Elephas maximus indicus: one gene and its partners. The protein of the gene in region 2 purifies or fractionates together with the protein of the main gene of each other region. This does not show direct contact. Links are inferred from orthologs where the notes say so. Each region holds a gene or a part of one and is shown on either strand. Other genes may lie near its edges.

The links.
Region 1: the proteins of melanoma-associated antigen 10-like (region 2) and QSER1 purify together in Homo sapiens (affinity purification with mass spectrometry; 3 studies listed by BioGRID and IntAct, counting the BioPlex papers as one, with this or other methods). This does not show direct contact. The link is inferred for Elephas maximus indicus from reciprocal best matches to the Homo sapiens genes MAGEA10 and QSER1.
Region 3: the proteins of melanoma-associated antigen 10-like (region 2) and FOXJ2 purify together in Homo sapiens (affinity purification with mass spectrometry; 3 studies listed by BioGRID and IntAct, counting the BioPlex papers as one, with this or other methods). This does not show direct contact. The link is inferred for Elephas maximus indicus from reciprocal best matches to the Homo sapiens genes MAGEA10 and FOXJ2.
Region 4: the proteins of melanoma-associated antigen 10-like (region 2) and KAT2A purify together in Homo sapiens (affinity purification with mass spectrometry; 3 studies listed by BioGRID and IntAct, counting the BioPlex papers as one, with this or other methods). This does not show direct contact. The link is inferred for Elephas maximus indicus from reciprocal best matches to the Homo sapiens genes MAGEA10 and KAT2A.

The regions. Positions count from the first base shown.
Region 1 is NC_064825.1:88,066,186-88,074,568, reverse strand, and holds the start of QSER1 (glutamine and serine-rich protein 1), read right to left. Parts: upstream 3,107-8,383; 5' UTR 3,047-3,106; coding exon 2,862-3,046; intron 2,848-2,861; exon of another isoform or gene 1,033-2,847; intron 1,024-1,032; exon of another isoform or gene 1-1,023. UniProt on the Homo sapiens protein: Plays an essential role in the protection and maintenance of transcriptional and developmental programs.
Region 2 is NC_064846.1:4,211,288-4,218,011, reverse strand, and holds melanoma-associated antigen 10-like, read right to left. Parts: upstream 1,729-6,724; coding exon 643-1,728; downstream 1-642. UniProt on the Homo sapiens protein: Not known, though may play a role in embryonal development and tumor transformation or aspects of tumor progression.
Region 3 is NC_064822.1:65,288,702-65,297,281, forward strand, and holds the start of FOXJ2 (forkhead box protein J2), read right to left. Parts: upstream 3,447-8,580; 5' UTR 2,298-3,446; intron 2,292-2,297; exon of another isoform or gene 1-2,291.
Region 4 is NC_064837.1:49,073,376-49,081,187, reverse strand, and holds the start of KAT2A (histone acetyltransferase KAT2A), read left to right. Parts: upstream 1-4,538; 5' UTR 4,539-4,585; coding exon 4,586-4,924; intron 4,925-5,061; coding exon 5,062-5,185; intron 5,186-5,511; coding exon 5,512-5,657; intron 5,658-5,764; coding exon 5,765-5,854; intron 5,855-6,134; coding exon 6,135-6,316; intron 6,317-6,412; coding exon 6,413-6,604; intron 6,605-7,505; coding exon 7,506-7,612; intron 7,613-7,798; coding exon 7,799-7,812. Other genes in the region: RAB5C (ras-related protein Rab-5C), read left to right, coding at 388-481, 970-1,085; HSPB9 (heat shock protein beta-9), read right to left, coding at 2,716-3,195. UniProt on the Homo sapiens protein: Protein lysine acyltransferase that can act as a acetyltransferase, glutaryltransferase, succinyltransferase or malonyltransferase, depending on the context.

The DNA of each region.
Region 1 (8,383 bases), on a different chromosome or scaffold from region 2:
TCAGGTAGAAAAAAGGGCAGTAAGTCTGCAGTTTAATGCTTCCTGACCATCGTTTTACTTCCAAAAGCTGCAAGGGTATTTACAGGATCTAAAACAACCCCACAAAAATTATTTCCAACTGCATGGTGATAGACAAAGGATATGTTCTTTTGGTACCTAAATCTCAGACAAGCACAAATAAACGGACATTTATATAAGCAATGTTTATACCTGAACTTTTCATGTACCTAGCAAACACTATTTAAGATAAAATGCTGGGTTTTCCCATTGGCTCATTATTTTTCAACTGCTAAAACAACAGAAACACCTGATATCTGATGGAGCCGTTTTATCCCAGAGTATTGCTTCAAAACTCATGAAGAATTGTTTACCACGCTCTCTCCCCACCAACTGATGAAAATGTTTCATTTCAGGATCAAAGACATAAGGTAGGTTGTTAGATCCCATGTCAGTAACAACTGCATGTCATTACCATCTGTCAGCTTCTGAAGAGGTTATTAGAAACAAGGTGACAGACAAGCTAATTCTTTATGGATAAGTATCTGTATTACATCATCACAACTAGTACTCATTTGCACCTTCAGAAGAAACTGCCACAAAGGGGAACAAAAACATTCAACTGCTACATTAATTATGAAAAAGCTTTTATAAATGTTATACAAATATGAAGAAGCTTCTGAAAATGCAGAATATTTAAAAATTTGCAGGACATATTTCAGATTCTGTATTTTTTATATAACTGAAATCAAAGAGGACATTTGCAGTTTGAGGAATAAAATGAGGTACAATTAAGAAATGTGTGCAGCCCTGTACAGATGGCCTGATCCTAACACAAGATGTTAACAAAGCAGGTTGGTGGGGAGAGGAGGAAAAGCCTGCATTTCCTACACTGCAATTCAGCTGACCCCACCCCAAAAAATATTTTTTTTTATAAAGGAGTTGGAGGGGGTTAGCATTTAAGTATCAATTACTTCCAATAAACAAAAAAATCAATCTTTTTTTAGATTATGTGTTCCAAATGAATCTACTTACTGTTTTCAAATGTGTTTGGGAAGTCATTCTGTGTTACTTTGATAAATAACATTTGGAAAATATGACAAGTAGATTTTAGTTTCTTGCCTCAGAAGTACTCTGCTAAAAGAAATAACAGAAATAACTAGGTTGCATTTGTTTCATTTACCTAATAAAACATTTTACATCTAAAATATAAAAAATGCTGCACAAATACCTATCATTGATATTCACTGAAGAGTAATTTTAATTTGTAAATTATCATATTCAATGCAAAAGCTCCTTGAAAAATGATAGTCAAATTACTACCAAAAGGAAATAACTAAAGGGCCAAGTAGCTTTCATAAAACTCCTTAAAATGTTTTAGTTCTATATAATACCAAATAATGGCTGTTTCTGAAGGGTTTCAGCGATCAATTTAGCTCCAAAATGGCATATCACTTTTTTTTTTTTAACCCAGTTCTTTTAAACAAAGGCCCTAAAATTTTCTACGAAAGCTACATTTTCCTTTTTATTGAACCAAATTGTTCTCATTCTCATTCACAGTCATTCCAAGGTACAAACTAAGACAAAGGCCAGCTACATATTTTCCAAATCATGAACACAGAAACTTTAATTAAAAACAAGCAGTCACCTAAAACACTATAATATATAAAATAAAAAAAAAAGTTCACTTTTCTGAAAATAATGAAGAAATCGGATGAGATCATAAAGCCACAAAGCTTCCTGTTGGTAACTGAGGATGAAGTCATTAGCAACCCAGGATTCCCCGGTCCTTGTAATCAGAAGCTGCACCTACCAGATTCAGTATTGTTCGGAAGAGGTGGCTTTAAAACACCCCGCTCCCAAATCCTCCAAACCAGACCACGCCTTCCAGTTATCATTCAAATGGGACCGTTTCACAGTGTGGTACTTCTACACATATTTCACGACCTTAAATATTTAGTAAGAGCCAACATTCTAGATTTCCTTGGTCATGCTGGAGAAAAGATGAACTCTTGAACTCCGCGCTACATAATGAACCCGGGCTTCAGAAACGGAGATGCAGAAGCATGCTTTGGTTCTTCAACCTTTATGGCCTTCCTTGACCCTCCCCCCAAAACCTTCCCAACTCTTGGTCACCTCGAGACACAGAAGGAAAAGAGAGGTTCCTTACTTCCTGCTGTTGTTAAAAGGGGCGGGGGGGGACGACCCAAGAGTAACTTTGAACGCGTGGAAAAGAAATCTCGTTCTCTTGGCCACCACAGCAAACATATGTCACCCAGCCCCGGCACAGCGTTCGCGCCCCGCCTAGCCCCGGGGTTTCTCCCGCAGCTCATTCCTCCCGGGTCTCCCACTGTCAGGGACACAGTTGGGCTCGACTGGGCTTGGAGGCGCCTCCTCTCCCCGTCTCCCCCACTCTCACACCGCCGGGGGCCCCAAGACCACATTGTCGGCCACTCAGGTTCCAATACAATGGAATATCACTGCCCGGAACTCCCGGGCGCCCCCCTCGATTCCCTGAAGCCAGTCCCGGGTCTCCCCGATCGCCGAGTTCAGCCACGAGCCCAAACTTCACCATGTGAGAGCCCAGGACCCCAGAGGGTGACGGAGCCCCACAGCTCCCGCCCAGCCCTCCCTCCACCCGCGCTCCCCGACCAGCCCCAGGCGCGAATCCTGCACTGGGCTCCCCCATCCAGCCCGGGACCACCCCAGAGGAGTCATCAGCCGCCTCTCCCGGCGAGGGGCGAGGCGAGCGGAGGCTCTCCGCCCGGCCCGGACCCCTGGGCGGCGCTGCACCGGCGCGAAGGCCCCAAACGCATCCCCGGCCTTTCCTGGCCCACCGCGACCCCGCTGCCCACCCTCCCTACCTGGCCTTGAGGCTGGGGCTGCTGCCGCTGCTGCAGCTGCTGCTGCTGCTGGCCGCGGCGGCGGCGGCCCCCGGTTCGTAGGCCCAGGCGGGGGCGGGGGGCTGTGCGGCAGCGCTGGCTGCGGCGGGGGCCGCGGGCGGCGGCGGTGGGTCGGCGAAGCCCGAGGTCGCGTAGTTCCTGTCCATCGTAGGGGCTGCGTCGGGAGGGCGGGCGGCACTGGGGGCTCCTCTCGGGCCCTGTGTGAGGGGGACGGGCGGGGGGGGAGGGGGCGGGGGGAGGAGGAGGCGGCGGCGGCGGAGGGAGCTGCCCCCTCACATGGCCCCGGCGGGCGGGCGGGCTGGCGGGCGGGCGAGCGGACGGCGCGCTGGGGCGTCTGTGCCGGGGACTCCGGGGCCGGGGCAGGCGGCGAGGCCCCAGCCGGGCGTCAGGGAAGTGGGGGCGCCCGCAGCCGGGACTCGCGGCGGCGCCCGCGGCGGCGGCGGCCGCTTCGCCCCATGTTGGTGGATTTCCCAGGATGCACCTCCCGCCCCCCTCCGCCCCACGGCCTCGCCCCGCCTCCCCTCGGCGCCCCGCGCTCCCGGCTCGCGGGCCAGACGGGCGGCCGGTGAGGCCGCGGCCCGGCGGGTTTATTCCTGAGAAGCAGCCGGCACGGCGGAGGCGCGAGGCCTCCCGGCCCTGCCGGCACTGGCGACGAGGAAGGACGCTCGCTTGCCCGGCTGGCGAGGCCGTAGTTCACGGGTCGCGGACTTCCCGCTCTGGGCAGCTCGGAGGGGAGCTGTCAGCAATCGCCGCGCCCTGCGTGGGAGGGGGCAGCGCCTGGGGCTCGCCCCGCGCGGGGAGGGAAAATCGAGCGGAAACTCAGGGTAGGGTGCTGCAGAGGGGGTGCCTTGTCAACGCTTTGGAAGGAGTTCGTTATTTGACCCTTCCAGTTATCTTGAATGACTCAAATACTCAGTTCCCACATTGCGATTTTTCTCAGCGCTTAGCCCCAAACCAGAAACAGCTGAGCAGGCTCTTTTACAGTTCCGCTTACTCCCTTCCTGCCCAAAGCTTGCTGGGCTATAGAGGACCCTTTTCCTGCTGTTAGGGGTAGTTTATATTCAAAGAGATTTAAATTCAAACGTATTATTTTCCAGTCCTCGTTGAAAGGGCCTTTCCCAGGGGCTCTTATTAACTGTTCCCCACCCCCACCTTGGGGATTTTCTCTTTCTGGATTTCGGAATCTTCTATCCCAAGATAAATACTGTCTCTTCATTGATTAATCCAACCACCATCTGGATGGCTTTAATTACAATAAATTTAAACTTGCCATGCACACTTGGTGTGAGGGCTTTTTGTTTAAAGACTTGGAAGTTAAGCAGGACCCTCTACCCAAACATTTCCTCTCTGACCTCCAAGCTGTTTGGTGTGTGGTAATTTAACGATTATTTGAGATTCTTCTATTGTATATCAAGGTTGTGTTTCTTTTAATAATTAATGAATAGAGGCACTCGGAATCATAGAACTTGTCAAGTTTGGCCCTTAAGTCATAAATTAAAAAGTTAAAAATAACAGTAAAATTTATATTTACTTTAAAGATCTCCTCCCTTTAAAAAAAAAATCAATATTAGTTTAACACCTAATATATGCTCAGCACAGAAATCTCACCCTCAAGATAAGCCTAACAAAAGTTTAAGCAAACCAGACAGACATAATAGAAGGCCTAATAAACTTGATACACTATCTCTGGTCACCGATTTTTAAAAGCAGTTTAAACTTGGTTAATACCCATTTAACTGATACTGGATCTGCTATTCCTTCCGAGTTTGGCTTAATCTTTCCTGAGATTGTTTTCCTCCTGGAGCCTACATCCTTTTGTTTCCATTCATTCCTTTTTGTAAATCTTTCTGCACCTGTGATGCTTGGAGCCTGGTCCTGGAGTGAAGAAGCAAGGAAGTGAGTAGTTGTTATTTGCAAATGAATTCAACATGTAGATACAAGTGACCTTGCCAATTTTATGCTAATTCCCGTATGCATTTACTGAGGTTACCTTTGAAAAGTGGCTTTCCTTGGAGAAGGAATTTGATAATCTGAGATCCTGCATAGAAGTAACATAAATCATCCTTACAACATTTATTTTCTTCTTGCAGACTTGAAATCTATAATCTAAATAAAACAAAAACGTTTTCATTACTATTACATTTATGAGTACTTTTGTGAGCACTAAAGTTTTGTCTCTATGGAAAGTGTAGGAAATGGAGTGGCATGCTATAAATGTTTTATGGCACTTAGTTTGAGATGCCCACAACTGGTACTCTCAGAGTGAGTTATGCTGGCAATACCAAACAAGTGGCAATAAAATCTTTATAGTCTCTCACACCATTATGTAGTTTGTTTATGTCACATAAATCAGAGAAAAGATATTAAGGGAAAATTTTAGTATTTTTAAATACTACTGTCACTGTATGTGTTGTTCCTTTGCCTGTTCAGTGAAATTTCCTTAGTTTACCCAAAGTCAACACAATTATATTTCCACATGTATATAACATGTCTACAAATAAAAAAAAAAAATAGCAACATTAAATATTTTTACAATTTGGTAAAATTGATGATTCTATTTGAAGAATGTCTTCTTCCCTACTGAAAATATACTCCCAACTCTGCAGCCTTGTCCTGGTCTCTCAAATTATACTCAAGTTGCTTTAAGTCTGAAATAGGCAGTGTCAAAAATCTAGAATGAATTTTGTTGTTCTTGTTCTAAATAAGGAAACCCTGGTGGCATGGTGGTTAAGAGCTATGACTGCTAACCAAAAAGTTGGCAGTTCGAAATCACCAGGTGTTCTTTGGAAACTCTGTGGCGCAGCACTCCATCCCACAGGATCGCTGTGAGTCAGAATCGACTCGATGGCAACGAGTTTTGCTTTAAATAAAAATTTCCATTCCATTCTTTGCCTATGGAACTCCTACTCATCCTTTAAGATCCGAATCAAAATGTCTTTCTTGACATTTCCCCAACTCCCCCAGGCAAAACCACTTGTTTCCCTTTCAACTACCCCATGGTGCTTTATTCTGATCTTTATTATATTTAGCATTATCATGTTACATTACAATTAGTTGTGTATCTGCTTCTCTTCCTCATATATTATGAGTTCCTTACAGGTAGGGGTTGTGTTTAATTCATCCGTGCATCACCAGCACCTAGTACTATAAACCCGTTGCTGTAGATTCCAACTCATAGCGACCCTATAGAGCAGAGTAGAGCTGCCCATAGGGTTTCCAAGGCAGAAATCTTTAAGGATAGATTGGCACAGTGGCTGCAACAATGTGTTCAAGCATAACAATGATTGTGAGGATGGTGCAGGACCAGGCATTGTTTCCTTCTGTTGTGCATAGGGTCACTATGAGTCAGAACCCACTTGACTGCGCAACAACAATCTTTACAGAAGCAGAATGCCACATCTTTCTCCTGCTGAGCAGTTGATGGGTTTGAACTGCAGACCTTTGGGTTAGCAGCCAATCACTTTAACCACTGCACCACCAGTGCTCCTCCTAGTACTATGCCTGGCACTGTTTTAGGCTCTAAATAGAAGTTTATCGAGTGAATAAATACACATACAAAACCTAAAAAAATCAAAGCCATTGCCATCAATTTCAATTCATAGTGACCCTATAGGACAGAGTAGAACTGCCCCATAGGGTTTCCAAGCAGCAGCTGGTGCATTCGAACTGCCAACCTTTTGATTGGCAGCTGAGCTCTTAACAACTGCACCATTAGGGGTTCCTACTACTTTTAAAATACCCATTCAGAACTTCCATTTAGTCATTACATGTTCTTTCAACTAGGAAAAAAAACCTATTTGTAGCTCAGTCCCAAAATTCAAGGATAGGGTTCGAAAATAGATTAAACTAAAGGCGGTTTGGTTGCAAGATGAATCGAAGTAAGTCTTAGGAAGGAGTCTTTCCTCCTACCCAGTCTCCCCATTTACACTCTCTTCTGATTTTATTGTCTAGGAGTTAATGGTGATTTACATAATGTACACCAGTGTTCATTGCAGCATTACTCACAATAGCCGCAAGGTAGAAACAACTCGAGCGTTCATCAAGAAATGAATGGATAAACAAAATGTGATATATATGCACCAAGCCCATTACTCTGGAGTTGATTCATACTAAAGTTATTGTTAGGTACCATCAAGTCGGTTTTGACTCATAGTGACCCTACGTACAACAGAACAAAACACTGTCGGATCCTGTGCCATCCTCACAATCGTTGTTATGCTTGAGCCCATTGTTGCAGCCACTGTATCAGTCCATCTGGTTGATGATCTTCCTCTTTTTCGCTGATGCTCTACTTTACAAAACATGACAACCTTCTCCAGGGACTGGTCCCTCCTGATAACATGTCCAAGATGAAGTCTTGCCATCCTTGCTTCCAAGGAGCTTTCTGGCTGTACAGCTTCCAAGTCAGATTTGTTCATTCTTCTGGCAGTACGTGGCATAGTCAGTATTCTTTGCCAACACCATAATCGAAGGTATCTATTGTCCTTCCCTCTTCCTTATTCACTGTCCAGCTTTCATATGCACATGAGGCAATTGAAAACACTATGGCTTGGATCAGGCACACCTTGGTCCACAAAGTGACATCTTTTTAACACTAAAGAGGTCTTTGGGAGCAAATTTGCCCAATGTAAAGCATCATTTGATTTCTTGACTGCTGCTTCCATGAGTGTTGATTGTGGATTCAAGTAAAATGGAATCCTTGACAACTTCAATCTTTTCTCCATTTATCATGATGTTGCTTATTGCTACAGTTGTGAGGATTTTCTTTATGTTAAGGTGTGATCTATACTAATATAGATTTTGGATGCAGGCTGCCACATCTATAGTCTTTGTGCTTCACTTTCAGCAAACAAGGTTGTCATCTGCATATCACAGGTTGTTAATGAGTCTTTCTCCAATCCTGATGCCCGTCCTTCTTCTCAGATTATCTGCTCAGCATACAGATTGAATCAGTACAGTGAAAGGATACAACTCTGATGCACACTTTTCCTGATTTTAAACCACGGTATCCCCTTGTTCTGCTCAAACAACTGCCTCATGGTCTATGTACAGGTTCCTCAGGAACATAAAATTAAGCGTTCTGGAATTCTCATTCTTTGAAATGTTATCCATAATCTGTTATGATCCACACAGTCAAATGCCTTTGCATAGTCAACAAAATACAGGTAAACATCTTTTTGGTATTCTCTGCTTTCAGCCAAGATCCATCTGACATCAGCAATGATATCCCGAGTTCCACGTGCTCCTCTGAATCTGGCTTGAATTTCTGCCAGTTACTTGTTGATGTACTGCTACAAACATTTTTGAATTATCCTCAGCAAAATTTTACTTATGTGTGATATTGATGATATCCAACTCATAGCAACCCTACAGGACATAGTAGAACTGCCCCATAGGGTTTCTAAGGCTGTACATTTTTATGGATGCAGACTGTCACATCTTTCTCCTGTGGAGCAGCTGGTGAGTTCAAACAGCCAACCTTT
Region 2 (6,724 bases):
GACATGGTACCCTCCTCCTGTATGACTGCTGCTCCTGGACACTACCATCCTATGAGGACCTCTCCCTGTCCCCCCGCAACACTGTGTCTCCCAAACAGCAGATGCTCAATTCACGTTTGGGGGAAAAAAATGAGCCAGTGAGCAGGGGCTTCCATTTATTAAAGTTTAATTTCTCCTACATTCATGAATCAGCCAAGCAAATCCAGATACATATATTTTAATGTTACACAATAACAGACTAAAAAGAATAAAGGCATCCGAAAATCTTTTTTCTATTTTACTGCTGAGTTACTTCACATTTCCAAAGAAATTCCTGTTCCAATGCCATGTTATCTTGGTTCAAATCACTGAATGAGATATAAGGTTTCCCAATTTGTTTTACAAAATAACAAAATTCTTACTCTTGAAACACAAAAAAAGCAATAAATGTGTGATCGATGCCACCGATAAACTTAGATTCTGAAACTAATTAAACCTTATCTATTCAAGAGAACAGCATTTGAAAAACACCAACAAGAAAAAGAAATAAGGCTACAAGTCACCCTTACAAAACAGGAACACAAAGATGTTACGCCCCTGCCCTCCACTACTTAGAACTGTGACCACCCTCTTCAAACACAGAGTAATGGATGGCCTGAAACTTTACTTGGGGCAGGAGAAGCTGCCAGACATGGCCCCGGCACTTTCACTGGCCATGGCAGTAGTGGCATCCGTGGCAGCAACACTGGCCTGGGCTCTCTCCTCCGCATCTCTCAAAGCCTCCTCATACCAAAACGGGAAAGATCTGGGGTCACTGCCATTGACCTTGGCCAAAAACTCGAGGACTTTCATCTTGCTGGTTTCTGCGTGGGCCCTTGGACCCCACAGGAATTCATAGCGGGCAGGACTGCTGTCGGGCACCTGCCGGTACTCCAGGTACTTCTCCTGCACCCAGTCATCGGTGATGAGCTTTTGGGGCTCCCCGTAGATGAAGTGCTCCCTCCCAACATACACGCCCATCACACTCAGAGCTTCCCAGATCTTCTCCTCAGGGGCACAGTTGCCTTCCAGGAAGATTATGCTCAGAATAAGTATCAGAATGCCAGTCTTGGGCACACCCTGATCACCACTCAGCATCCCATCATATGTGAGGCCCAGTGTGTTGACGAGGACATAAGAGTGGCTGGTGGGATCCACTTCCTTCATGTCAATGCCAAAGACCAGCTGCATGCACTCCGAGGCTTCCCTGAAGATCACAGGGAAGTGGTCCTGGTACTCTTTGATGACTGTGGTCAGCATTTCTGCCTTCGTGGTGAGCTCCTTCGTCTGATATTTAAGGAGCAGGAACTGTACCAAATCTGCCACCTTATCATCTATTGCTTCTCTGAGCAAGGCCTCAGCATCTGGCTGGGCCTGTGAAGTGCTTGGACCCTCCCCTGGGCTGCTGGAGCCCTCAGCAGAGTTGCTGGACAGACTGGCTGCAACGGCAGCAGAGGGGGAGCAGGATGCCTGGGGACTCTGGGAAGGACTGGGTGTTCCAGTAGCAGAAACCTCCTCTGGGGTGCTTAGGTTCAGGGGACAGGAGGAGGAGGAAGAGGACAAGGGGAAAGAGGAAGAGCAGGTGGAGGAGGAGGAGGCCTCCTCCTCCTCAGCCACAAGAAACTGCCCTCCCTCTGGGCCCTGCGTCCCACCTTGGGGCTGAAGGTCTTGCTCAAACATGTAACGCCGACGCTTTGATGGGCGAGGCATGGTGACTCTTGTCGGGGAGTGCAGATAGGAGGGTGGGCTGTGAGAGCCCACAGGCCTGCAGGAGACAGTGGCAGAGTGTTAGGGACCTCAGCTGAAAAACTCAACCTTGGCGACTCTGACAAAGACCAACTTACAGGTCTTCTCTAGGGCCTCACAGGTCTCCTGTCACCCTGTCCCTTAGGACCCTAAAGGAAGAGGGTGGGTGATGGGAGCCTAAAGGCCTGTGGGAAAGGCAGGGAGAGTATGAGTGGCCTTAGCTATGAAACTCAACCTTCATGGCTCCAACAAAGGCCAACTTACAAGTTTTCTCTAAGGCCTCACACGTCTCCTGTCTATCTGTCCCCTAAGGCCCTGAAGGAGAAAACGACACGGCTCCTCAGGGTGTAGCCAGGGCTTCCAGGGCTGACAGTGGGGTGGGTGGGGTCAGGGGCTGTGGGGTTCCCTCTCTTCTTGGGTGAGTGGGACCTTGGTACACATTCAGTGTTCTCACCTTGCCTCCTGGCAGTGCCTGGGCTTTCTCCGCTCTGCTGACCTGAGGACACGTGCCTCAGACCAAGGCCCTCAACTCCTGGTTCCTTGTGTCCCTGAAAGAGGAATTGAGGGGCACCTGAGGATGCTGACTGCAAGTTCAGTCTTGGGTCTCCCAGCACTCACGGGAGGGGTGGAGTGGACTCTGGGAAGTCCCCATTTTCCAGGGTTGGCGGTCTCCTCAGTGCTCACTCAGGGTCCTCATCCCTCTGCTGATCTGAGAGAAGACTCTCAGAACAAGAAATCACATCCCTGAGGTCTATGAGGAGGAGAAGGGGTCCCCACTAACCACACCTACTCAAGGCCTCTCAGGGCTGAAAGAAGGAGCAGGGCAAAGCTGGTGCCCATTACTTCTAAGATGAGGATATCCTCAAATCCTCTCTCAGGACATTCATCTTTACTCGTGTAAGTGCTTGCACATCTGTATGTGGACCTCCTCAGACCAAAGCCTCATCTCCTTGAGACCTCTCTCCCTCATCCCCCTCACTCCAAAGAAGTGAGTGGGGCCACATCTAACCACCACTGACTAGGTCCTCCCATGATGAACAGCAAGATTATGGCGGGCATTCTGCAGGGTTTCCTCTGTTCTGCAGTCTAAGGTCCCTTAAGTCTTCTCTCAGGGTCCCCGCCTTGACTCCTGGCAGGGCCTGGGACTTCTCCCTTCACTGACTTGACTTCCCACCTCTCAGTCCAAGATTCTGCCCTCCCTGACGTCACCAAAGCAGAAATGAGAAGGCTCCACATGAAGCCACCTCTAACTGGGGTCTCCCAGGGCTGACAGCAGGGGTGGGATTCTGTGGGGTCCCCTTTGTATAGGGTGGGAGGAGCTCTCAATTCATCCTCAGGGTCCTAACAGGATTCTAACAGGTCCCGGGACTCCTCTCTCTGCTAACCTTCACACCAAGCCTCCCTGAGAGCTCCTTCTGGCGGAAGTAAGAAAACACCACAGCAGGCCACCCCTGTCCCCCTCTCCATCTCCCAGGGTTGAGAGCATGGGCGAGGGGTGGGGGTAGCAGCGTTATGGTGTCCAGAGTCACCTTAGTCTTCCTTCAGAGTCCTCACCTTACACCTGGCAGGGCCCAGGACTCCTCTGCTGACCTGAGCCCAGCCCCCTCAGTTCAAGACCTTTATCTTCCTCAGCAGAAATGTGGGAGTTGGTTCAGCCTTACAGCCATGTCCTGGGTCTCCAGGTCTGACAGTGGGGGCTGGGCCAGTTTCTGTGAGTGTGGAGAATTCCCCTCAGCCCTCCCTGAGGGTCCTCACCTTGACACCTGGCAGGTCCTGGGTCCCCCCTTTAGACGACCTGAAGCGTCCTGCCTCAGATCGAGGTCCCACCTCCCTGAGACGCCCGAGGTGAAATAAGGGCCCATCACGTTCAGCCACTCTTGTCCAGGGTTTCCCAGGGCTGACAGAAAAGAGCGGATTCTATGGGGTTCCAGAGAGTTCTGAGGCATCGGGTCCCCTTATTCCTGTCTCAGGGACCTCCACTTGACTCCTGGCAGGGCCTAGACCCCTCCCTTCTGATAATCTGAAGCCTCTTCTCCTCCTATGATCTGAGATAACCCACTAAGACCACGTCCCGCCTCCCTCAGATCCCGGGGCCGAATCGAGGAGTAGCTGGGGTTTCCCAGGGCTGATGGCAGGGGCAGGTTCTCTGGGGCCCCTCTGTTCTGAGACCCGGGGTTCCCCCAGTCCTACACTTGACTCCTGCCAGGGCCTGGACCCCTCCCCTCTCATGATCTAAAGCCCCTTCTTCTCCTATGATCTGAGATAACCCGCTAAGACCACGTCCCGCCTACCTCAGACCCCGGGGCCGAATTAAGGGGTAGCTGGGGTTTCCCAGAGCGGACAGCAGAGGTGTATTTCTCTGGGACCCCTCTGTTCTGAGGCCCGGGGTCCCCTCAGTCCTTCCCTTTACTTCTGGCAGGGCCGGGATCCCTCCCCTCTGGTGCTTGAGACCGCTTTCAGACAATGCGCCGCCCCTCAGGTACTGGCAAAACTGAGTGGAAGCCCCAGTCCTTGAAATATTCCTGGGTCTTCTAGGACTAACAGAAGGGGCACGTCCCTCGGGGGGGGGGCTCTATATTCTGAGATTCCGGGTTCTCTCATCCTCACGTGGAGGCTTGACCAGGCCTGGATCCAAGGCTGAAACCCCTCAGACCAGCCTCGGCTCTCGGACTCCCAAGCCGGAAGTCAGGAAACACCACCCCCCCCCGCAGCGGGTCTCCCAGGGCTGTCAGCAGGGGCTGAGCCACTGAGGGGGCCTTTATGTAGGGTAGGGGGCATCTTCAATAACCGCAAAATATTTTACTCCTGACATCTTCCTGAGACCCCTGAGAAGAAAGTAGTGGGAGACCACACCTCTGCCTGACAGCCTTGCTCGGGATCTCCCAGGGCTGACAGCAGGGGTCTGACGAGACTGGGGTACTCTCTGTTCCAGGGCTGGGGTTCTCTCAGTATTCCTTCAGGTCCTCATTTTGCAGCCTAGCAGAGCCTGGGACCCCTCCATTTGCTGACCTGAAACCAGCCGCCTCAGACCTAAAACCTCACCTCCCAACATCCCTGAGCCGGAAATGAGGGCACACGTATTTGGAAGAGGAACGCCATTGGTGGGCTAGGAGACCCGTTCCCAAGCCCCACCCAGACGCCCACAACCGGGGGTCACCACGCCGCACCCCGCCGCAGCCTCCAGTTCCCCCCCTCAGCCCCCGGGGCCCCCGCCCTACCCCTCCCTGTAGCCAGGAGGCCGTCCCTCCCCTCACCCTCAGCGCCAGACCACGCGAGTCCCCTCCACGCCCTACTCCGCCCGACAACCTGGACTGCCCCTTCCGTGCCCCCAACCCTCCGGGCCGGGAGTCCTCCCCCCCATCTGCAGCCCTGCGGCCGGGACCCCTCTCTCCCTTCTCCGACAGCACCCTATTCGGGCCCTCATCACCGGGGATCCCTCTCAGCCAGCCCTCGAGCCTGCCGGTCCCCCACGCCGCCTCGTGCTCTACCCAGACTCCGGCCGCCAGTCCCCTCAGGCCCCGCCCGGCGACGCCCTAACCTGACCCAGGGCTCGGTCATTCCCGGCTCCTCCACAGAGAAGGCCCTCTGCGCTCACCTCCTACCACTCTGCGTGCGCTCCCACGACCCTGGGGAAACGGCGCCTCCGGCCGCGGACCCCTCCAGAACCCCCTCAGAAAGATCCGGAAACGCGCCTCAGCCGCGTGCCTCCCGGCATCCTCTTCGCCAAGGCCACGTGGCCTTCCCGGCTTTCCCAGAAGCCCCCGGGGAGCGGAGGCAGGCCGACTTCGTGTCTCAGTGCGGGGGGCGCAGCAGGAGAGCACGTAAGGAGACGTCCGTGTTGTCATGGCACCGGGACCTGCATGGTAAGGGTCTGCCTGGCAACGCTGGCCGCCTCCAGAGGCAACAGTTGCACCCATTGGCCTGCCACCAGCAAAATGGCCTGGCAACAAGGAGGGGGGTGGGGGGGGACTTGGGGAAGTAAGTCGGTGGAGGGAGAGCTCATTGTAGCAACTTGGAGGCAGGTCGGGGCTATGGAAGCCGGAAGTCGGGGCAGAGGACCCTAGACCAGGCCCCTGGGACACTCTGCATTTGCACCTTGTCCCAATCAAGCCTGGAACCTGCACAAGGGACCCAGGCTGGCTGTTCCCCGCCCAGGAGCCTCATCACAACTCCTTCCACTGCAAAGCCAGCCCTCACCACCTAGGATGCCATTGCATTGGGAAGAGTGTGGGTTTTGAATCAGGTAGAGGTAGGGTCACCTACCAGCTGCATGGCCTTGCAGAAATCACTGAACATCTCTGGCCCTCATCTGTAAATACGCAATGAGAACACATTTTTTTAATATATAGTGCTGAATTTGATTTGTTGATAGCATTTTTGCTATTCTGTTCATGTGGGATATTTTCTGTGACTTCATCATATATATATTATATATATTGAACAAAACCAAACCCACTGCTGTGGAGTCGATTCTGACTCATAGGAACCCTATAGGACTGGGTAGAACTGCCCCATAGAGTTTCCAAGGAGCACCTGGCAGATTCAAACTGTCAGCCTCTTCGTTAGCAGCCATAGTACCTAACTGCTACGCCACCAGGGTTTCCATGTTTTTATATATATATATATATATATATATATATATATATATATATATATATATATATATATATATACACACATATAAATAATATACAATTTTGTCAGGTTTTAGTAACAGATTCTTTGCTTTGCAAAAATCAAAGATGTCACTTTGAGGACTAAGGTGTGCCCGACCCAAGCCATGATATTTTCAATCGTCTCATATGCGGAAGCCGGAAGTCGAAATAAAATGGCGTGATTTCTTCCAAGTATGGAGTAAAAATAGCTGCCAATTTACGATTCTACACCCAGAGAAAACATACTGAAAAGATGAAGGTGAAATAAAGACATTTTTAGCCACAAAAAGGGAGCAAATTCATCA
Region 3 (8,580 bases), on a different chromosome or scaffold from region 2:
ACCAATGCCAGACCAGAAAAACTTCAAGGATGAAGAAATGGGAGAATATCACCTCTTATCTTTCAGAGGGAACTAGGTTTAGTCATAAGACATGGTCTGAAAAATAGCACTCTCTAAGTCACTGTTAACCCAATAGCCACCTGCTTCTGATTCCATAGAGGCAGAGAGGTGAGGAAACAGTCTAAGCAGGGCCCGTTAAAGTGCATGGTGGTGCTATACTTGGAGGTGTGGTGATGCAGTTCACCCTAAGCCATTCAAGAAATTGCATTCCAGCATCTGGTAAAGTAGTTTTTAAGGAACAGGCCGCTGTTACACCAAGTCTGGCTCTTTAAAAAAGGCAGGGGAGGAGGTCCTGGAGTGAAGAGCCTTTTGAGATGACAGGCATCAGAAATAAAGCTCTCTCATTAGCTCTCGAAGGTGGTCCCCGCCTGAGGCTGCACTGTCCTGCTGCTTAGGATGCATGTCGAGCTGCCATTCATGAGCACTCCCACTGACCAAGGGAAGGCTAAGCCTTTTCCCAAGCTGGACACTCTTCCTGGCATCTTCTCCAGGTCCTTGCACAGGGTCACCTGCTTCTAGAGGCCTAATGAAAACATACATTAGGCCTCTAATTGGAGGCTTAGTCCGAAAAGCACAGATATACCTGTCTCTGCACACACACCCCCTCCAAACACGGAGACAGAGAGCCACAGACACATGAATTGAGAAGCATAACGCACACTGTTCTATACCACAGCCAAAGAACCTACACTTTATAACCGTGCCTCATATACCACTACTAACAGGTAGATTCCAGGACCAAATGGCTGTACTTAGGGGCTTCGTCAGCCTATCCACCGTCCAGACAGAGAAGGAAGAAACATAAAAGCTCAAGTAAGGTGAAACCTTCCACTTGGCCTTACTGCGGGATATAACTCTCCCTGCAGAAGATAACATATTTTCTAATGGCAAGGCAAGAAGGTAAGCACCCAGCTAGTGACCCAAAATCGAAAGGCAGGGCTCTACTAAAAACCAGAGCTTTGAACCCCTGCTGAGAGTTTGCATTTCCACCCCAGATATACTGAACCAGAATCTACAGTTTAACAAGATCCCCAGTTGATTCCTATATATAATAAATTTTGAGAACCACTGCTCTACTAGTGGTTCTCAGAATTGGTCCCTAACTGGCAGCGTTAGCATCACCTGGGGACTTGTTAGAAGTGCAAATTCTCAGCAGGGGTTCAAACTGGAAGGAACCGGTTCAAAGCCCTGCTAAAAACATAGCCTGGGCTCAGCTAGAGGAATTTCCTAGCACCTTTCTCCTACTTTTTCAGCAAATTCTGGACTGTGATGATTCCTACTCCTATCTTACTAGAGAAAAGTTAAATACAAGGTTCCAGGGACTCAAAATTGAACAAGAAAATGAGACTATTAGGTGATTTTCTCCAAGGAATCTCTAATACAAAAGGCTCCTTAGAGGTTAAATCTCCAAATCTCCTTAGTGGTCAGCTTATTTAGATGGAAGCCTGGAATGAAGCTGGTGTAATATTCTCCTCTTTCTATCCAGGGCAGAAGACCTGTGAGGCACTTGGGCAGTGATGCAAGGCCAGCATCAGGGAAGAACTTCAACCTGGATCTGACATCCCCTATACCCTTTTAGTCTTCTCACCTCGGGACCTGCAGGATGTCCATCTTCCTTTTGGATTTTATGAGTAGAGGCATGCACCCAGCCAGAAATGGGAATGTCATAACAGGAGACCTCTTGGTGTCTGAGAAAAGGTGAGTGGGGCCACACTGCCCTTCTTGTCAACCCAATCACCATGGGTTGGAAAGAACAGTTCTGGTGAACGTTAAGCTGAGAGAGAAGGAAATCCAACAGGGGCCCTTGACAAGGCCAAGACACAAGATGCCGCCATGAGTTTAGTGAGGACCACTCTCAGAGTGAAAAGGCCAAGGATGGAGGGGTGTGTGGGAGTCTGGTAGGGATGTGACAATCATTATACACGATATGCAAGAAGTTCTGAAAATGCAGGCATTTTCTGACATCTCTGCCCTCAGCATGGAAACATCCACTTCCCTAGGGACCTCAAATGAATCCCATCCCCTTAGTCCTCAAACACTAAGAAACCCATTTCTCAGAGTCTCTGCAGCAAGATGTGAGTTCTAATTCAGAAGCTTCCTCAAAACACAGTTCCCAGAGGATGGTATGAGTTATCACTCCACCTTTCCCAGCAATGAAACCCAAGAGCCATCACTTCAGCCTCCTACACCCACTAGTGCCTAAAGATGACAGAGAGAAGATGGAAGAAAGCACTAACCTGTCTCCAAGGTCCCCCCAGCAAAGGGAGGGAACCACTTGGTACTGGAGTTTGGGGTTGGAGGGGTTCCCCTCTTCAGAGGCAGATGATGAGTCTCATCCTCAGTGGCTCTTCCTGTACTTGGCTGAGCCTCCCAAGCTGGGGGGGGAAACTGGGTCCCCAAAGGATGAGAAGCGGAGGCAGGAGGAGGAGGGGGAGGAGGAGGAGGAGAAGGAGGCCCTACCTGGGGAAGGTGGCACACCCCCCACACCTTCCCTGTTACACTGGGGAGGAGGGGAGGAGCCTCTCCCAACCAGGAGTTGTCTCCTCCCCCTTGGGGGAGTCCCCCTCCCCCCCAAACTGGATCTTTCGCGGGTGGAGGGCAATTTCTGTCTGCTGGAGATCTGAACGGAGGGGCTCTGCCCTGTTCCACTGTCTAGGTACAAGGAGGATGACGGGGGAGGCCTTCCCTTCTCCTGAATGGCTGGAAACCGATTCTTCTTCTTTCCCTGGAGTGTCCTCTGCTTCTGAATGTTAAGACTCCTTTCCTCTGTGAGTACTGGATAGGATGGAAGGTGCCTACTCCATAGGCATTTCCCTCTTTCTCTTTGCCTCAAAACTCCTGAACTGCTGAGAGTGTGTGTTTGTAGGGGTGAAGGCACGCTGGGATGGTCTCACTCTGCTTCCTTTAAGAAGGATCACCCGTTTCTACTTTTAGGGCTCTCCTCTTGGGCCAGTATGGGGATTTTCCTCGCTTCTAGGAAGGAGAGACGCGTCCCATATAGGGGTCTCTTCTTTCTCCCGCCCAGTGGTAGGGGTCTTCTCTCCAACAGGGGGAGGGGGATGCTCCCGTCCCCGCTCCCACCTCCGCTCCTGGGGTGTCCCAGAGGGTGGGGTTTTCGTACTCCCCGCTCTCCCTGAGCTGGCCTGGGCAGTAGGGTCCGGGAGGCCCGGGCTCCCGGCTCCCGGTACTGGCTACTGTGGCGGCAGCGCCTCTTCCAGTCCCGTCCCGTCGGGTCCGCTCCCTTCGGCGCGTGGGGCTCCCCGCGCTGCCACCTCTCGGGCTCTGGCCAGTCGGGGCTCCCAGGGAGCCAGAAGGCGGACGGACCGTGCCAGGGCTCGGCTCGGGCTCGGCTCGGCTCCGCTGCAGGCCCCGGCTCCTCCCCGGCCTCCGCGCCGCACTCCGTGCCCCTCCCCCTCCCCCGCCCGCCCGGCCGCCGCCGCCACCGCCTCCCGGCGCGGGTTAAGGAGGAACCGGGCGGTGCCGAGACGCGGGCCGCGCCGCCGGGTTCGCGCTCCGCCAGGACAGCCGCGCGGCCGCACTCACGCTCCCGGGAAAGACGCCGCTGCGCAGCCCACAACCTGCAGCGCAGCCCGCAACCTGCAGCGCAGCCCGCAACCTGCAGCCCAGCGGGGCGCGCTTCGCCCCTCGCTCACCTTCCGCCACCATACAGCCTCTTTGCTTGGTGCAGCTTGCCGTCTACCCGGAATGACAACCCACTGGTCTCCACCAGGCGTGCACAGCGCGCTCTGAACTGTCACTGATTCCAATTTAGATACCCCGTAACTCTGGTACTTTGATCTTTTTGTTGTTGTTCTGTCGTATTCTGTATACAGATGAACATCCCTAGAAGCTCCTCAGTAATGTTTTTGATGGACTTCTGTTCCCCCCCCCCACAAACACACACAGAGTTATGGGGGCTGGCGCAAAATTAATGTTACCCTGTTAGCATCCCAGAGTTCGGTAAAGGCTTGTTGAATGATGAAAGCATAAAGGGATAAATGAGTGTGTAATAGAAGAAAAGTTGGCTCTAACATCAGAAGATCTGAGTCCTACCCCTTGTTTCAGCTTTGTAAACTTGGGAAGATCATTTGTTGTCTAAAATCTTGATTAGCAAAGAGGGGACCTTGATACTCGTCCTGCCTACCCACTAAGTCTGTTGCAAGTATCAAATGAGATATTTTATGTGAAAATCGTTTTTAAACTGTACAGTATACAAAGGAAACAAAATATGACTGTTGTTCAGTTCACTTGACAGGCTTTTAACAAACCTCATCCTGAGTATCACAGAGTATAGAATGTTCTCATCGCACATCTCTCTGCTCCAGGCATGTCTTTACAGAAAAATCCTCACCCAGAAACAAAACTAATGGCCCACTTCCACTTTTCCTCCTGGAGTCCTTTTATTCCAATGCAAATCCTTATATATTCCATCCTCTGCCTACTAAACTTATCTCAACCACTTTACTTTCTATCAATAAAATAATATGAAGGCAAAAATATCGTCCTTATTCAAAGAAAGACTGCATATTCAAGATTACAGCTGAATGACTGCATTTTACCTTTAGACAGTAAAATCTTTGGTCTTCTGGCTAAGTATATAATACTACATTTTATTTGCTATATGCATATATTATAATCATATATTTACAATGCACCAGACATAAAAAAACCTAAGCAATTTGCATGCATTATCACATTTAACTTTTGTTGCAATATCATCATCCCCCCCCCCAAAAAAAACCTGTTGCATCTAGTCAATTCCAACTCATAGTGACCCTATAGGACAGAGTAGAACTGCCCCATAGGGTTTCTAAGGCTGTCCATCTTTACAGAAGCCAAACTGCCACATCTTTATTCCCCAGAGTGACTGGTGGGTTCAAACCACCAACCTTTCAGTTAGCAGCCAAGTACTGAAACACTGCACCACCAGGGCTCCTAGCAATACAATGTTGTGTTATTAGGTGCAGTTGAGTTGGTTCCAACTCATAGGGACCCTGTGTACAACAGAATGAAACACTGCCCCATCCATCCTGAGCCATCCTCACAATCGTTGCTTTGTTTCAGCCCATTGTTGCTGCCACTGTCTGTCCATCCCATTGAGGGCCTTCCTCTTTTTCACTGTCCTTCTCCAGGGTCTGGTCCCTCCTGATAACATGTCCAAAGTATGTGAAACAAAGTCTTGCCATCCTTGCTTCTAAGGAGTAATCTGGCCATACTTCTTCCAAAACAAATTTGTTCCTTCTTCTGGCTGTCCATGGTATATTCAGTATTCTTCACCAACACCATAATTTGAATACATCAATTCTTCTTCAGTCTTCCTTATTCATTGTCCAGCTTTCACATAATTATACCTAATTTACAGGTGAAAAAACTATGACTATAACCATGTCCAAGTTCACGTAATTAGTGAGTAGCAGAGCCAGAACTTAAATTCGAATGGCTCCAAAGGCCCAGCTCTTAACCTCTATGCCATTGACTGGAGCTGGGCCGGTAAAGGCAAGTCATCCTCAAAAGCAGTGAAGCCTAGCTGAGCCTTTTCTTCCTCATGACCCTCCCAGTATCGTTCCAGATTTAAAGCTGTATTTTTCCCTCTCTTTGAGGCATTCATTCACTCTCCCATGTGCTGTTACAGAAAAATGATTTGGCAGCAAGTGTTTCTTGCTGTGTGTTGGATACTTTGTTGTTTCATTGTTCAACTCTTTTTGGCATTTATTATGTATGATGGGAAATCTAGGAATGAATTAAAATCCTTTCCTGGAGATCTGGAAAAATAAAAAGCTCAAGAATTTATTTGATACATACAAGATATTTGCTACAGCATTAATTGTAGCTAGAAAATTAGAAACAACCTAAATATCCATAATAAGGTAACTGTGAAATCAATTATGATACAGCTATATAATATTATTAGCTTTTAAAAGAGTAATTCTATTTAACTCTGGAAGGTAGAATTAATGGGAAGTTGTTTTTCTTTTTATAGATGCTCCCTACCGTTTAGATATTTTGCAATAGCCAGGCATTATTTTAAAGAGTCAATTTTTATCATATATGTGAATATATTCAAGTGAGAAAATAATATTAAAAAACAGCTTGTATAATATATAGCTGCTTTTTCAAATATATACATATGTGCATATATACTTGTATGTGTATATGTATGTATATATGTACATATACGCACACATATATTGATGGATTGCACCAAATATGTGAGATTAAAGATGATTTTATTTATTTCATTGTCCACTCTATAATCAGTGTTCATATGGGTTTTACTTATATACTTTTTAAAATTAGAAATAATTGATAAGCATTGTGTGGTTTGGTTTTGCCCTAAGACAGAGGGGAGCACTTGCATTCATTCTCCCTTTACTTTCTATTAAGGATGGTGATATGGAGCAGGATAAAAATACTGACATTAAAACATGCCATGAATCAAAATATAAGAATCTACCCTCTCTGTAATGGAACATAAAATTCTTCATAGTATTAGTCTACCTTAAGTAAAACTCTTCTTCATAGTATCCGCGGGAGACCAGGCAACATTTCACACTGTTGTACATAGGGTCGCTATTAGTTGGAACCAACTCCACGGCACCTAGCAACAACAGTATGCTACAATACACATTTTCATAGCATTTATGAAACATAGTGGATAGAAGAACAGCCTACATGGATTCAAATCCCAGGTTTAGCACTCAATAACTTGGAACCTTGGATAAGTTACTTAACTGCTCTGTGTCTCAGTTTCCTCATCAGTAATAATAGTACCTATTTCACAGTGTTGTGGAGGGGTTATATGGCTTTATACATGTAATGCACTTAAATAGGTGCCTGAGAGAGGAGGAACCTAGAAATCAAAAGAAGCTTAATAGACATATCAACCAAATGCAATATATATGAACCTTTTGGGGATCCTGATTTGAACAAAGCAACTGGAAAGAATATTACAAGACAATTGGTGAAATTTCAACACATTGATGATTTGGTGATTAAGGATTTATTGTTATGTTTTAAGCGTGTTAATGGTATTGCGTGTGTGTGTCTGTGTGTGTGTGTGTGTATGTTTAAATCTTTGTCTTTTAGAGATGCATATTTAAGTAGGGATGAAATGCCTGAAATTTTGCTTCAAAATAATCACCTATGGGGTTAGGTAGGGAGTGTAGATGAAAAAAGATTGGCCAGGTGTTGATGTTACAGCATGGGGTTTTAAAATACTACTTTTGTATGTATTTGAAATTTTGTAAAATAAAGTTTTTTAAAAATACAGTAAAAAAAGGTGTCTAGAAAATAGTATGGACTATGTGTTTACGATTATAGGCTTTGTATGCATTATGTTCTTATGTTAATTACAGCTTTCAGATTACAAGCTTCTTTCACTTGCACTATATCTTTTAGTATTCAAACTAAACCCATGAGGTAGTATTATTATCCCCATTTACAAACGAGAAAACTGAATCAGAGTCAACCCTGCAAGGCCGTGCAATATACCACCTTCACTCTTCCAGCTTGTCAGGGGACCAGTGGTAAAAGGAATAGGAAGTAACCCACAGCCACTAGACATAGGGTTCTCCTTGCTTCCTTTAATGGGTGTAGTCAGATCTAGTAGGGGAAAGACTAAATCAACACACAAATGATTCATTGAGGCATATTATCAAACACAATTTGAGCTCGCACTGACACGTCAGAAAAGTTCTAGCTGCTACGTTAAAAGGTTATCTCGGGAGATAAGAGACTAAATCATAAAGGAGTACTCTGCATAATCTGTAAAAACTGTTTCTTACATAATTTTATTTCCTTTACCTAACATGTGTATTCGTCCTAAAAAAATAAGGAAGTGAACTAAGGCTAGGGGACTAGAGATGAGAAACTGTATGGGGAACGAGGTTGGGAGGCAGGAGGATTTGACATTCCAGTTGTTTCGAGGCCCACTCAACTGTTCTGTTCCACCTTAACAAGTTCTAGCCTCTCCCCAAACGCAGAATGCATTCGGCTCCTCCCACTCCCGTGTCAGCCCCGACCCGGGAACGTGGGGAAGGGAGGAGAGACGCGCTGAATGGAAAGACTGGCGCCAGAGGCTGCAGGGTCTCTCCTTCCCGTACCCTACCGGCACCGGGAGGAGCGTGTGAAGCGCGGGACAGTGGGACTTGGTTCCTTCCCGGAAGACCTCAGTAATGTGGCTGTTGTTCTACTGAAACCCTGGAGCGAGGGGGCGGGAGGGGGGAGGACGGAGGAAGTGTAAGGCGTAGGGGCCCATCTTGGGGTGGGGCCGAAGTGGGATAGAACTGGGGCTCAGGAGATATACAATATGCGAGCTTTCTGGTTGAAAGCTCCTGGGGTCGGGACGTACCTCTCCAAAATATCTCCAAAACAGGGGGCAAGTTTTCCATTCCCCGCCTTAATCCCCCATCTTCATTTTAATTGGTTGGGCTTAGAGTAGGCTGGGCCCAAGGTTGCTTGCTGATTGGCTACGTATCTTATCTATCACGGGTTGGAGCAGGCGAGGACGGTTATTTGAGG
Region 4 (7,812 bases), on a different chromosome or scaffold from region 2:
GCAGACTAGAGACAGTGCTGTGGTCACCATCCACATACCTGTGCTTTTGTCCAAATGTGTGAGTGTGTTTGTAGAATAACTTTCGAGAAATATTCCTGCCTAGTAATTTCAAGATCAGGAAGGCAGAATGGACCTAGAAAAACCTCGAAGACATCTGGTGATGTGTGTGAGCTGAGAAGTGCTAAACTAACAGGAGATCGGGATGTGGGACAGATGTCTCAGGAGACCCAGAGCAGGAAAGCCTTAAGCCTGATAGCCCTGCATTGGTCCAGCTTGTCTGTATTGTATCTAAGGCACTGTGATCAGGGATAATTTTTATCCTGGGCTCCATCCACTGCCAACTGTCGACATTTCCCTCCCACCCCCTCTCACCTCCATCTGAATCAGGAAGCACAAGCCTATGCAGATGACAACAGTTTGCTGTTCATGGAAACATCAGCAAAGACTGCAATGAATGTGAATGAAATTTTCATGGCAATAGGTAAGTTGCCTTTCATCAAGGGCACGTCACTTGGTTGCTGTTCTGTAGTAGGTCACCGGGGGTCCCTTCACTATTCTGATAAAATAGTCTTCTTCAGCTAATTCCCCGATGTAGATCGTTCGCCCCAGAATTTTCTAAAGCCTGGGCCAGCGTTTCAGCATTTTACTCCTTCACACTTTAGCTTGCTGCCCATTTCAAAGACTGTCATCACCATCCCCCTACCCACTTCTTAAGATTTTTTTTAGTGCCTAGGCTCTGGAGTCATCCCGCTGGGTTCAAATCCTACCTCTGTGGCCTTGGGCAAGTTATTTAACCCCTCTTTGCCTCAGTTCCCTGAAACACTCAGAACATGCCTGGCACGTAAAAGCCTTCGGTATGTGGTTTATCACTGATCGAATGGTGAAGGCCAGATTCTACTCGAGTAGGATTAGGAGAGAGTATTGGGTATCCCCCTCAAATGCATTTTTTTCTCCTCCTGTCTCAAACAGCTAAGAAGCTTCCCAAGAATGAGCCCCAGAATGCTGCTGGTGCTCCAGGCCGGAACCGAGGCGTGGACCTTCAGGAGAACAACCCAGCCAGCCGGAGCCAGTGCTGCAGCAACTGAGCCCCCCTTGCCTGCCCACTGCCCCCACCTCCTCCGCCTGTACGACCCGACTGGAATCCACTCTAACCAATCGCACTTAACGACTGGGCCACCGCTGGGGGGGCAGGGGGAGGGCTCCACCATGATTTCTCCATATGATTTTGGTCATAGGCCGGAGTGAGCTATTCCACCTGCACCTTTCTGTACAAATACTAATTCAATTTTAAGTCTTAAGTCACTTTTTTAATATATATGATCTTCTGCTCTTCCCACTTCCTTCCCTTCCTACAGCTCCCCCACTTTTCCTTTGCTGGTAGTAGCCACATGCTCCTGTGCCCCCCACCCTTGTATATGGGGGCAGGGGGCTGGAGCAGTTACCCTTCCTTTCCTTCTTGCTGAATAGCAGACTCAGCAAGAGCATCCACACCCTTTCCTTGTTTGGAGCGGGCTTCGTCTGAGGTGGCCGGCAAGGCCCTGGAGGCTAGGGAATGAGAGCAAGCTCTTCCTGCAGCAGGCTGTCATCAGGCTGCACCCCCCGCCCCCCCAGCTGGGAGAGAACCCACAACATTACTACAGTTACTTATCACACGTTATTGTGACAGCCACGAACCCATTGCCCACCCCCACCCCCTTGGTCACCCTGACCTCTGGCTCTGAGCCCTGTTCTGACCAAATCACGATGAGTATTTGGGGGTGGGTGGGTAAGGGGGGGAGTGGGGGGGATGGAACCAACTTTTTCTGTATTTTGTATTGTATGTTTTCTTCAACATGTAACCAATCAGTATCTTGTCAATATAGTCAGCCGATCGATCGACCTCGCTCTTGTCTTGTCTTTCTCTGGCAGAGTTTATCAGACCATGCCCTCTCCAGTTTTCTTGATGTTAATTTAAAACGAACCACTAATCTTGTGAAAAGCCTTTTTTTCCCTAATGTGAGGGGATGCTGGTGGTCATGGTAACCAAGAGAAAGAGGCCCTTACTGTTAGCAGCTCTTAGCGGGTAGGGATAGGGCCAGACTGACCTGGGGCTGAGTCTCACCGAGTTTAAATTGAGGGTCCTGCCTTGGCCTCCCCGTCCAGCATAGATGGTGGTGCTGTGCAGTCTATATTTGAAGATTGTTGGCTTCTGAAACACCAGAAGTGGCCCCTTTGGGGTTTTTGGTTGTCTGTGTCAGGCCTGTATGGGACTCTCACCCTCTTCCCTGAGGAGGGACATCGATGACCTCTACAACTTCCAGCCGGTCATAAGGCCAAGGCTGCCACACCTGGCTTTCCTCACCACCTGACTTCCTCACCACCTGTGTCCCCACAGCACCACCCCCCAAACACCAGGGCCAGGCCATCCTGTCCCAGTCTCTCAGGGCCCTCTGTTCTTTCTGGAGCCAGGTGAAGCTTGGGCACTCTGGCCCTCTGCTGCTCCCTGCCGGAGCCAGAGCTCAGACTGCCACAGGCTGGGGGCTATCGCCCTAGCAGTGAAATGAGCTGAGTAGGGCAACACTGCCCTCCAGCTTCCAGGGCTACAAAGGCCTTGATTCTTGGCGGATCCCCACCTTGAGGTGTCTCCCTCCACCTGCAGCTTCCCTATCTCTGACCTCAACCCCCAGAAAAGACCACGGACACCAAGGCTGCTGCACACCGAGGTTGTTTACTGGCTCAGGCTAGGTTGGAACCGTTAGAGCTGAGGCCCCTGAGTCTGGGAGACGGCCCTATACGGGCTTCCGGGAGAGGCGGCGCCCAGCACTGGCTTCGGACACACAGCTGGCCAGAGGGGGTCAGGCAGCAGGTCATGGCGGAAGGATCTAGGTCGGGCGGTAGTTGCACTTCCCGGTGCACCTTCCGCGTCATGCAGAAGCTGCCCCCGTCTGGGCCACAGCTCTCCAGGTGCTGCTGGCCGGTCACCATCAGGCGCCCGCTATCGACCCGCACGTCCAGCTCCTCCGGGGTGAAGCCGTGGGCATCCACCTTCAGTTGGAAACCGCCCTCTGCGTGGTCCTCCTGCGCAGCTGCCAGATGGTCCCTGAGTAGCTGCACCGGTAGCCTGGCCACTTGGTTCTGTTCAGCGAGGGCCACGCTGGGACGGCGGAACGCCGCCACCTGCTTCTCGTTGGAGAGGCCGCTCCCAACCCGCTGCATCGGTGTGAGCAACTGCTGTCCAAGCGCGTGCGCCCCGAGCGCAGGGCTCGCTCAGAACTGGGCAGAGGCGCGAGGGCGCCTACGAGGTGCAGCTCCGGAGAAAAGGACTCTCCTGCACTAAGCGTGGTTGGCTCCCCTCTGCTCTGTTCAGTTCAGCTCGGTCCCCTTCACTTCCGCAAAGCGGCTGCGCTCGGGTGAGATTCACTTTGGTAGAGTTCGGGGCCAGGTATGCTCATCCTACCCCCAAGGGTCAGGTTGTCAGCTGCCTTGGCGCTTCAGCTCCTGTTTTCACTCGGGATCCTGCCCCTTTCTAGGGCCCTTCCCCACCTCTGTCAGGGGGCCAGGGAAGGCCAGAGGCTGTGACTGAACTGGACCTGCCTGAACTGCGGGAGCCCCAACCTGGAGCCTCAGAAGCGCAGACCCAGGAACAGACCGAACCTCCGGGCTGCGGGGAGGCTGTCTTGATCTTCCAGGAATCAGGCCTGGGGACAAGAACTGCCCCCAGTGGAGTATGGCCTTTCCGGGTCATCCATTCTCTAGATGTCCTGCCTTTCCCTGACCATGCACAATGGCTTCTCTCCCACACCCGTGAAGATTGGTAGGTGGATGAGTCTTTCCGGCCTTTTATTCCTCCAGTGCTGGGCCTGCCAGGTGGCACAAGGGCTGAGCCCTAGAACCACAAAGATGAAGACATGGGCCCTGCCGTCAGGAACTCACAGTCTGGAGGAGAGTTTCCCGCAGAGTCGGTCCAGTGCCAGGGAAAGGCGGCCGTCCTCCTCTGCGGCCACTTCGTCCCCACCCCAGTAGCCTTCTTTGTAACCACAGCCATGCCTCTGGGACTCAGCATTTTAAAAATAAACTCTTAATGAAATATACACAAAAGTGCAAAAAAAAGTGAACACTCTCACGTAACCATTACACAGCTAATAAAAGGGTTACTAAATTTTAATCTCTTCTGGAGCGGCCATTCTGTCCCCGGGAAGACGTTTGGGGCAGGGCCTTTGCCGAGGGTGGGGTGTAGGGGAGAGAGGTGTGCGGTGAAGTCAATGCGACCTTCGGGCTCTGAAGGTAGACAGAGCCCACGATTCTGTTTTCTCGAACGCTCCTCCTTGTCCCTAAGAGAACAACAGTCTTGACTATCGCGGAAGGCTCCAAGAGGGATGAGAAGTGAAGAAGGATGAATCTGGGCCGATCTCTCGTGCTTTACTTGGCTGCCTGGGTCCGGGGTCCAGGACAGAAAAGTCTGGAAGCTGGAGGCAGAGGGGAGCGGCGATGGAAGACTACAATTCCCATCATGCGCCAGTGCAGCAACGCCTGCGCACTGAGCGCCGTTTGCCCATGCGGCCCTAGGGCTGGGAGCGCCGCGCCGCTCTCCTCTGTGGGGGAGGCCATGGCGGAACCTTCCCAGGCCCCGACCCCGGCCCCGGCCGCACAGCCCCGTCCCCTTCAATCCCCAGTCCCTGCCCCAATTCCGGCTCCTGCCCCCGGCCCTGCTTCAGCCCCGGCTCCAGCTCCCACTCCGGCACCAGCACCCGCCCCAGCTGCAGCCCCAGCCGGGAGCACAGGGACTGGGGGACCCGGGGTAGGAAGTGGGGGGACCGGGAGCGGGGGGGATCCGGCTCGACCTGGCCTGAGCCAGCAGCAGCGCGCCAGCCAGAGGAAAGCGCAAGTTCGGGGGCTGCCGCGCGCCAAGAAGCTCGAGAAGCTAGGGGTCTTCTCGGCTTGCAAGGTGGGGGCGGGGCCTGTGTTGAAAGGGGCGGGGCCTGGGGCATCCAAGGGTTTGGGTGGGAATGGTGGCAAGCTTTGGCAGGGGAGAGGCTCCTTGCCCCTGGGTATGGGGTCATTCACTGATCCTTCTGCCTTCAGGCCAATGAAACTTGCAAGTGTAATGGCTGGAAAAACCCCAAGCCCCCCACTGCACCCCGCATGGACCTGCAGCAGCCAGCCGCCAACCTGAGCGAGCTGTGCCGCAGCTGTGAGCATCCCTTGGGTAAGGCATGCAGTGCCCTCGGACGTTGGGGAGGGGGCTTGCTGGCCCCTGCTTGGACAGGGTGAGTTAAGTGCCACAAAGCTTCATCTCTGAAAAACCAAAGATGCCTTCTCAGGAGGGCTTAGGTTGGGCATGTATATGCCTCAAAACAGGAGAAAGGAAATGGGGCTGCCCAAGGGCCTGTGTAGAAGCAGCCAGTCTCCTTGGCTGGTCACTCTGGTTTGAGGGGCTGAGGATGTATCTTGGCTGGCTACGAACAGGGGAAGGAGGCCCCTGTAGATTTTTTCTACCCAACCTTCCCAACTCTACCACCTGTTCCCTTGCAGCTGATCACGTGTCCCACTTGGAGAACGTGTCTGAGGATGAGATTAACCGGCTGCTGGGGATGGTGGTAGACGTGGAGAATCTGTTCATGTCTGTTCACAAGGAGGAAGACACAGACACCAAGCAGGTGTATTTCTACCTCTTCAAGGTGAGCTTTCAACGAATGAGGGAGGGTTTATGAAGGAGGTGAGGCATGGGGCATTTGCAGCTCAGAGCTCTGCACACTGGTACTCTGCCCCTTTCTCTTACCTCCAGCTCCTGCGGAAATGCATCCTGCAGATGACCCGGCCCGTGGTGGAGGGGTCCTTGGGCAGCCCCCCATTTGAGAAGCCTAATATTGAGCAGGTGGGATGGGGAATGTGGTAAGACAAGAACTGGGGACACCTTGGAGAAGTGGGGAGCCTATGTTCTTCATCCTCCTCAAGTTGAGTATGGGAGAGAGGTTCAGAGAAGGAAGAATGTTTTGTGGGTAGGGGGACATAGTTTATCTTTGCACAGAGCCCCATAGTGAGAGGAGAGCTTTGTCTCTGCCCTCAGGGAACACCTGCTTTTGGGTAAGAAGCCCCTGCTGGCTGCTCATGCCTCAAGCCCTGTTTTGTCTCCTCCTCCTCCCGCTCCTTCTCAGGGTGTGCTGAACTTCGTGCAGTATAAGTTCAGCCACCTGGCTCCCCGGGAGCGGCAGACGATGTTCGAGCTCTCAAAGATGTTTCTTCTCTGCCTTAACTACTGGAAGCTTGAGACACCTGCCCAATTCCGGCAGAGGTCCCAGGCTGAGGATGTGGCCACCTACAAGGTCAATTACACCAGGTAGGCCTGGCCAGGGGTAGCATGTGGAGAGGCGTGTAGGCCCAGCCTGGGCTTAGTGCTTTCTGCCCTCACCTGCCACTTCCCCCACCTGCACAGATGGCTCTGTTACTGCCACGTACCTCAGAGCTGTGATAGTCTACCCCGCTACGAGACCACTCATGTCTTTGGGCGAAGCCTGCTCCGTTCCATCTTCACCGTTACCCGCCGGCAGCTGCTGGAGAAGTTCCGAGTGGAGAAGGACAAGCTGGTGCCTGAGAAGAGGACCCTTATCCTCACCCATTTCCCCAAGTAAGGTTCATTCTGGCCTCTCAGGACCTTTTCTCAAGTTCACTTTGCTGTTGTCCCCTTTTTTCTGGGATGCCTTCCTGGAGTGATCCCTTCTCCCCCTCCATGAGTCTTCTGGGATCTGGGTGCCCCAGCCCAGACCCAACCTGCTGATATTTGCCTTGTATATGCTAGTCTGGGGATGGCGGGGATGTGGCATGAGTGCTAACGCTACCCCTCTCATGGCGGTAGAAGACATTACTAGTTGTTTCTGCAAGGCCTGGACACAGCCTTAGACTAATCCTTCCCCCAGCAGCACTCCCAGAAACCAGAGTTTCCACCTGAAGTGAGATTGATTTCCATCCCTTCTTAGTTTTTTCTGTAATATCTTCCTCTGCTCAGCCTTGTTTTCTTCCCATTTAAGTCTGGCTCCTAACTCTCTTGTTCAAGAAGCTTTTTTTGACTAATCCTGGCTCCCCAGAGCTCCTCCTACCACCAGGTGGGAAGAAGTGGCAGGAAGGGGTGGACTCTGAGCCCCACTTTGACACTGAGGGGACTGAGTCTCAAGGTAACTCAGTGTGCTGCTTGGCATACACACAGGTGGCATCTGTGCAGGCCCTGTCTCCCTGTGTTCTTTTCCCTGTGCTGCCCATCGTGGCAGGAAGTGGGCCTCTTGGATCTCTGCCTTAGAAGTGTTTTATTCTCTTACTTCAGATGGGGGCTCCCAGAAGGCAGAGGGCTGCTCCTTTCCCTTCAGACTAGGGCTTCACAGAAGGTACAGGGTGTCTCCTCTCTCAGGCTCTCAATTCCCTGAGAGCATCTCTGTTTCTTTCCCCTGCCTCCTGCCCCTTTGGGTGCCTGACCCAGGGCTCCACCCTTGGTTGGAGGGATAGGATTGTGGGACCGACCTTGCACCCTTCCCTAGATTCCTGTCCATGCTGGAGGAGGAGATCTATGGGGCAAACTCTCCGATCTGGGAGTCCGGCTTCACCATGCCACCCTCAGAGGGAACACAGTTGGTGCCCCGCCCAGGTTTGTGCTCCCTGGCTCTCTGCTTGCCTTATTGGCTGAGCCAAACACCTCTGGGAGGAGAGGGCCGGGAATGACAGCAGTGGGGAATGCAGGAGGGCCATAGTGTATCCGGGGGTGGCGGGCCTGGATCCCTTTGAGAAGCCTGCCCACGACTCCAACCCCTGTCCCGATTTTTCTGTCCCTAAGCTACCGTCAGTGCA